2 linked regions of the Oryctolagus cuniculus genome follow. The protein of the gene in region 1 purifies or fractionates together with the protein of each later gene. This does not show direct contact. Links are inferred from orthologs where the notes say so. Each region holds a gene or a part of one and is shown in the gene's direction. Other genes may lie near its edges. The genes, in order: VPS45 and RBSN.

Region 1 (3,816 bases):
GATGAACAGGAGGTTGTGGCTGAGGTTCAGGTAAATATATTGGCCCTTTTAAAATATTTGAGTCTTAAACATCAAGATGGGATTGGCATTGTGGCTAGCGGCACAGGCATCACATATAGGGACTGGTTTGAGTTCCGGCTGCTCTACTTCCAATCCAGCTCCCACTAATGCACCTGGGGAAGCAGCAGAAGCTGGTCCAAGTGCTTGGGCCCCTGTACCCACATGGGAGATCCACAGGAAGCTCCTGGTTCCTGGCTTTGGCTTGGTCCAGCCCTGGCCATCACAGCCATCTGGAGAGTGAACCAGTAGATGGAAGATCTCTCTCTCTCTGTCTACTTCTCTCTCTGTAATTCTGCCTTCAAATAAATAAATAAATCTTTAAAAAAAAAATAAAAAGGTGGTGCTGGTCTCAAAAGAAGGAAGGCTATTGTTCAGACAAAATAAATTGCATTGTACAACATATATTTAGTAAGTTTGGAAGAGATCAAAGTGGATAAGAATAGAATTAAAGGAATGGGTGAGAATAAGGAGAGTGGGCTGATACAATGACCTATTTGGAATCAAATCCCTCATGAAATACATTGTACAGTAAAATTATTTTTTATCTGAGCATAACATTGTGTATCAGTAGGTCGGGTTTCACAGGTTTGAAGACAGAGTCAGATATTGCTGTAGCTTAGTTTTATAAGCTGTGGTCATCAACAGAAATACAAGTATGTCTGCTTGGGAGAGAATGGGGTTTCTAAAGTTCTGTTGTAACTATCCTGTTCTGAAGATAATAGGCAGACTTTTGTTGTTAGGTGAAAATTTGGAAACTAAACATTTATTCTGCATGCTGTATAATCACATTAGAACATAATATGTTAACTTTGCCTTCTTTTTTTTTTTTAAACAGGCAGAGTGGATAGTGAGAGAGAGAGAGAGAGAGACAGAGAGAAAGGTCTTCTTTTTTTGCCGTTGGTTCACCCTCCAATGGCCGCCACAGCTGGCGCGCTGTGGGCAGCGCACCGCACTGATCCGAAGGCAGGAACCAGGTGCTTCTCCTGGTATTCCGTGGGGTGCAGGGCCCAAGCACTTGGGCCATCCTCCACTGCACTCCCAGGCCACAGCAGAGAGCTGGCCTGGAAGAGGGGCAACCAGGAAAGAATCCGGCGCCCCAACCGGGACTAGAACCCGGTGTGCCGGCACCACTAGGTGGAGGATTAACCTATTGAGCCGCGGCGCTGACCTACTTTGCGTCCTTAAACACTTTAGTGTTCTTGGATATATTTATCACAAATATTTGAATAACTTCTGTCACCTTGGTGAAAACAGTGTCTTCTAAGGTGGCAAATAAACTAGTTTACAATTTTTCAGGATGATATACCAGGTAATAAATGAGTAAAAAGAATGACCTAGTTTAAATCACATTCTCCCTCATGAAATACATTCTACAGCAAAGTTAATTTTTACATAAAATTGTAAATCTTATTGCAGTGTTTAATTTTTACTAATTGATAAATATACATAGAATTCTTTGGAAATACCATGTGCCCACTTCTACAAGTTTGTTTGTTTGTTTGTTTGAAGACTTATTTGTTTATTTGAAAAGCAGTTACAGAGAAGGAAAGGAAGAGACAGAGAGAGAACAATCTTCCATCTGCTGGTTCTTTTCCCAAATGGCCACAATGGCCAGTGCTAGGCCAGAGTGAAGCCAGGAGCCTAGAATTCCATCTGGTCTTCCACTTAGGTGGCAGGGGCCCAAGCACTTGGGCCATCATCTGCTGCTTTCTCAGGTGCATTAGCAGGGAGCTGGATTGGAAGAGGAACAGCCAGGATTCTAACCGGCACTCAAGATGCCAGTGTGACAGGCATGGCTTAACCTGCTACACCACAGCACTGACCCTTGTTAATTATTAATTGAACAATTTTTGTATGTTTTTTATATTTGTATTTCATCATATTTGATTATATTGTACAGTATTGTATCATCTATGAATATATTACTGCTTGATAAAGTAGAGTTCATGAAATAACTTATCTTGTGCTTTATTTGCAGGAGTTTTATGGTGACTACATTGCTGTGAATCCACATTTGTTTTCCCTCAATATTTTGGGTTGCTGTCAGGTATGGAAAGAAAGAATTAATAGATAATTTATCAGTGGGGAGTGAATTCTGCAGGTAATTGGACTTAAAAGAGAAAATTCAAATATTTTCTCTAAATATTTATTTTCAACAAAAAGGGAAGAAATTGGGATCCAGTTCAGCTCTCCAGAACAACTCAAGGACTGACTGCTCTCCTTTTATCTCTGAAGAAGTGCCCCATGATTCGTTATCAGCTTTCATCAGAGGCTGCAAAGAGACTAGCAGAATGTGTTAAGGTATGGCCTTTCCTGTCCCTAGTTCTCTAAAATCAGTGCCATTCATTTCCCTGAAATACTTCAGAAACTAAAGGAATATTTTATCTGCAACCAAGGAGATAATAATGTGTTATTTTTATTGGGAAAGAGGTAGATATATATAAAAATAAAACGACTATACAGTAGAGATAAGATTCTTTATTTTCTATTTATTTATTTTAAAGGCAGAGTTACAGAAAGGCAATGGCAGAGAGAGAGAATGAGAGAGAGAGAGAGAGAGGTCTTCCATCCACTGGGTCACTCCCCAAATGACTGCAATGGCCAGAGCCCAGCCGATCTGAAGCCAGGAGCCAGGAGCTCCTTCCCAATGTTCTGCGTGGGTGCAGGGGCCCAAGAAGTTGAGCCATCTTCTGCTGCTTTCCCAGGCATATTAGCAGGTTGCTGGATCAGAAGCGGAGCAGCCAGACTCAAAATGGCACCCATATGGGATGCCAGCACTGAAGGCGGTAGCGCTATGCCACAGCGCCAGCCCCAAGATTCTTAGTTGTTGTTGTTGGTTTTTTTTTTTTTTTTTGAGATTTATTTATTTATTTGAAAGGCAGAGTTACAGAGATGCAGAGGCAGAGAGAGATAGAGAGAGAGAGAAGAGAGAGAGGTCTTCCGTCCGCTAGTTTACTTCCCAAATGGCCGCAACAGCTGGACCTGGGCCAATCCAAAGCCAGGAGCCTGGAGCTTCTTCCAGGTCTCCCATGCAGGTGCAGGGGCCCAAGGACTTGAGCCATCTTCTACTGCTTTCCCAGGCCATAGCAGAGAAGCAGAGAGCTGGATTGGAAGTGCAGCAGCCGGGATTCAAACCATTGCCCATATGGGATGCCAGCACTGCAAGTGGCAGCTTTACCCACTACACCCCAAGATTTCTTAGTTTTTTTGTTTGTTTGGTTGGTTGGTTGGTTTTTTTTTTTTTTTTTTACAGGTAGAGTGGACAGTGAGAGAGAGAGAGACAGAGAGAAAGGTCTTCCTTTGCCATTGGTTCACCCTCCAATGGCCGCCGCAGCCGGCACGCTGCGGCTGGCACACCGCGCTGATCCGAAGGCAGAAGCCAGGTGCTTCTCCTGGTCTCCCATGGGGTGCAGGGCCCAAGCACCTGGGGCATCCTCCACTGCACTCCCGGGCCACAGCAGAGAGCTGGCCTGGAAGAGGGGCAACCGGGACAGAATCCGGCACCCAGACCGGGACTAGAACCCGGTGTGCCAGCGCCACAAGGCAGAGGATTAGCCTATTGAGCCGCGGTGCTGGGCATTTTTTTTTTTTTACAAGGATTTCTTAGTTTTAACCCAAGACCCTTACAGTGTTTTTTGTTACAGTTAAACTGCCTGTAAACTAAGGTTTAAAATCTTAACTTCTTAAATGGAATGGTACTAAACTTTGTGAAGCTTTTGAATCCTTTTATGGAAGGCCCATGTGGGTGCAAAGAAC
Region 2 (3,437 bases), on another chromosome or scaffold:
AAAAGAGTATAATCCCTTTGAGGAAGAGGAGGAAGAAGTCGTGGCAGGGAATCCCTTCACAAGCCCAGATTCGCCTGCGCCCAACCCCTTTGAGGAGGAGGAGGAGTCTCCCCACCTGAGGCCCTCCAGCCCGCCTGTCCCTGGCAACCCCTTTGAGGAGCCTGCCGGTCCCAACCCCTTCGAGGTGGACAGCGACAGCGGAGCCGAGGCCGAGGAGCCCATAGAGGAGGAGCTCCTGCTCCAGCAGATCGACAACATCAAGGCCTACATCTTCGATGCCAAGCAGTGCGGCCGCCTGGACGAGGTGGAGGTCCTGGCGGAGAACCTGCGCGAGCTGAAGCGCACCCTGGCCAGGCAGAAAGGCGGCCCCGACTGAGCAGCCGTGGGAGGGGCCTGGCAGCGGAAAGGCAGGTGGGATTGGTGGGATGGAGGCAGGGCAGGAGTCCAGATGCACAGTCTGCTGTCTTGTGCTGTGCACTTTGAGGCATTTCCACTACAGATGAATAATAAAATGGGATCCAGAACGGGAAGAATCAGCATTGATGTGCTGCTTTTTCCTGTTTTTTTTTTTTTTTTTTTAATTGGAGGTTTTCCCCTTTCAAAGGGACTTCATATTCTCACTACCCAGGTGAAACCGTTGGGCCCAGGGCATGTACCTCCTGGGTCCCTTTGCTGCTGCCAGGTTGGGTCATTCTGCAGTGTTAGAGAGCAGCTTTTCCTAGGCCCACCCTGAGCCGAGATGGGCAGGATGGAGTCCCTTAACTACTCTGCTCTGGCCCCGTGGAAGTCAGTCTCTTGCGGGCCATGGGTTCTGTTTCACCCAGGCCTGTGCAGCAGAGGGGAGAGGGGCTGCGGTGAGGGCAAGAGTCCAGATCCAGGAGAGCCCAGCACCTCTTTGCAGTGTCTTGCAGGATCTGTTTGCCTCTCTGTGTAAGTTCCTGTTTGTCTCTTTCAGAAAGTTAAGCTCCCAGTGCAGGGGCAGCAAGGTGGATTTGAGCATGATCTTTTCAGAAAATGGGCATGGCTAATGTTCTGGTTGATTTTAGTATTTGGGAAAAGAATTTCTATATATCATGGCTCTGATGGAAATTGTCCATCCCCAGAGAAACCTCTCTGCAGAGTTTTGGCAGAACTACTCTGCTGAGGGCCTCTTTGGAGCGGCCAGTGTGTAATGTAGGATTGGGGTCAGGAAGCCTCCCGGAGTCACAGGATAAACCACAGGCCAAAGCCGCTCCATCAGCCTTCTTCCTTCGGAATCATCCCGTCCTGACCTGGGCGCTGGTGAGATCTGTTCCTACCCACACGGACATCTGTGAAGAGGCCCAGCCCAGGATCCTGGCGCTGGCTCTGCAGTGCTTCACCTCTGCACCAGGCAAGGGGAGAAAGGGAATGGACCAACTGAGCCCTGGTGCTTCGGTTTCCAGGACCCTCATGAACCCTTCACTGACCTCTGACCTCTGACGTCATGACACCCGGGTGTGCTTGGCTCTGGGCAGGGTTTCTGCAGTTACAGTTGCTAATTAATGAACAACAGCTGACCACTCGTCACTTTATACCCTCAGCTAACTCTGGACCATCCTTAGGTTACTGATGTGAGAGTTAATTCATTTCATTCTGGAGAAGATCCTACTGAAGTGGGAGTGGGAATGGCTGAATTCTCTGGGAGTAAAAATCTGTGTCGGCGCTAGTGATATTTCTTTTGCATTTTCTGGGTCTTTTTCTTTGGAGATGTGGAAATAGGGAAGGGTGGGTGTGTGTGTGGAGGACCCATTGCCTCTGGGTTCTGTTCACAAACAAAAGGAAAATGAATAGTTATGCATGTAAGCCGCTGGCCAGCCCTTGTTGGTTGCTGCGGTGGCTTTGGGAAGCAGGGGAACAGGTAGCTAAGGCAGTGGTAGGGGTCTCCCCTCTCCCTTGAGGCCATGCCCTTCCTGCTGTTGCTCCCCGACTGGAGAGAAGGCGGCTCTGCGCCGGAAACGAGGCAGTTCCGGGAGCTGAATGCCGCTCTCCGTCATACTTTGCTGTGAGAACGCGGCTCAAGTAGCTGGTGATTTCAGCTGAGACTAATCCACTAAATGTAGCCTTTCCTGAAATCACCTGCAGGAATCATGTAAGTAATTAACAGCATCGGGGGAAACACAAGAAACCTTGGTAAAAGCTGTCTTGAAAACCCGACTTACTGACGGTAGTAAACCAAACTAAAATCCCTGTGCTCTCATTGTTTTTCCCCATGGCTGTGTTCGTATGTGAATGTGAACATGACAGGAGTTAAAATTCTCCACCCCTTGGCTGTGCCAATTCTCAGAATTCATGCAGGCACATGGTTGACAGCAGGGAAAAGCTGGCCTGTGTGTCGTAACCACAACGTCAGGTTTTACCTCATCTGACTGCACTCTTGCTTCATCTCATCGTCCATGAGCAGGTTCTTGATGTGGCGTTGGCAGACCCCCAGGCACTGACACGGTCATATATGGAAGAGACTTCGGGGACTCCGGCATCCAATGAAGTTCTTCATGCCTTTTCCCTTTCATACCTCGTCTGGATCCCCCCGCCCCGGGTCTAATACACTAAGGACACTTACTCACTGTACTCGCAGCTCAATGTATCTTTGCTGTTCAGTTCCTACAATGTACCGGAGTCATCCTGAGCCATGCGGTGTGTGGCCGTTGGCGTGCTTAGGTGATGGGACTCAGAATGAGAAGCGGGTCTGCAGCAGCTCAGACTGGAGCAGCAGGTTGTGCTGGTCACCTGACAGTGACTGTCAGTCTGAGGGTCGTTGATTTGCATGCACTACTCTGAGGCCTTGTATTGGAGCTTTTTTAAAAAAATAAAATAACACATGATACTGGTTGAGTGTGTGCGCACATGTGTTCCAAGTGACAGCATCAGAAGATAGGCCTGGTTCCTGAGTCTTGTCTGATTAAGGCCCCCAAAGTCAAGGTCCCTGGAGCAAACCAGGGATAAGTATGGGTTCCAGGTCTGTCCTTACCTCGTTACTCCAGCAGAGTGGGTCCAATGCGTGATAGAGCACAAGCATAGAGCACAAGCCCTTCATAATCCTCTTACCCCTGTCAGCCCGGAGGAAACAGGCTCGGTGACGTGGGGGACCCCGACTGCCATTTGTGCCAGGCTCAGCACTGCTGCAGGCGTGGGGGCTGGCACAGTGGCTGCCTGTGATGCCATCCCATGTGGGCACTAGTTTGAGTCTTGGCTGCTCCACTTCTGATTTAGTCCCTTGCTCATGGTCTGGGAAAAGCAGCAAAAAATGGCCCAAGTGTTTGGGTCCCTGCTACACACTGGGGAGACCAGCAGAGGCTCCTGGCTTTGGCCTGGCCCAGCTCAGGTTAAAGAAGTTATCCTGGCCTGGGTCACACAGTGGAGAATGCGTATTGAAACCCAGGTGTGTCTGATTTGCTTTGTTCTCAGTAGCTAGGAGA

The links.
Region 2: the proteins of VPS45 (region 1) and RBSN purify together in Homo sapiens (affinity purification with mass spectrometry; 4 studies listed by BioGRID and IntAct, counting the BioPlex papers as one, with this or other methods). This does not show direct contact. The link is inferred for Oryctolagus cuniculus from reciprocal best matches to the Homo sapiens genes VPS45 and RBSN.

What each region holds. Positions count from the first base shown.
Region 1 is NC_091438.1:47,880,714-47,884,529, reverse strand, and holds part of VPS45 (vacuolar protein sorting-associated protein 45), read left to right. Parts: coding exon 1-30; intron 31-2,038; coding exon 2,039-2,107; intron 2,108-2,223; coding exon 2,224-2,361; intron 2,362-3,816. UniProt on the Homo sapiens protein: May play a role in vesicle-mediated protein trafficking from the Golgi stack through the trans-Golgi network.
Region 2 is NC_091441.1:113,914,898-113,918,334, reverse strand, and holds the end of RBSN (rabenosyn-5), read left to right. Parts: coding exon 1-376; 3' UTR 377-2,850; downstream 2,851-3,437. UniProt on the Homo sapiens protein: Rab4/Rab5 effector protein acting in early endocytic membrane fusion and membrane trafficking of recycling endosomes. Required for endosome fusion either homotypically or with clathrin coated vesicles.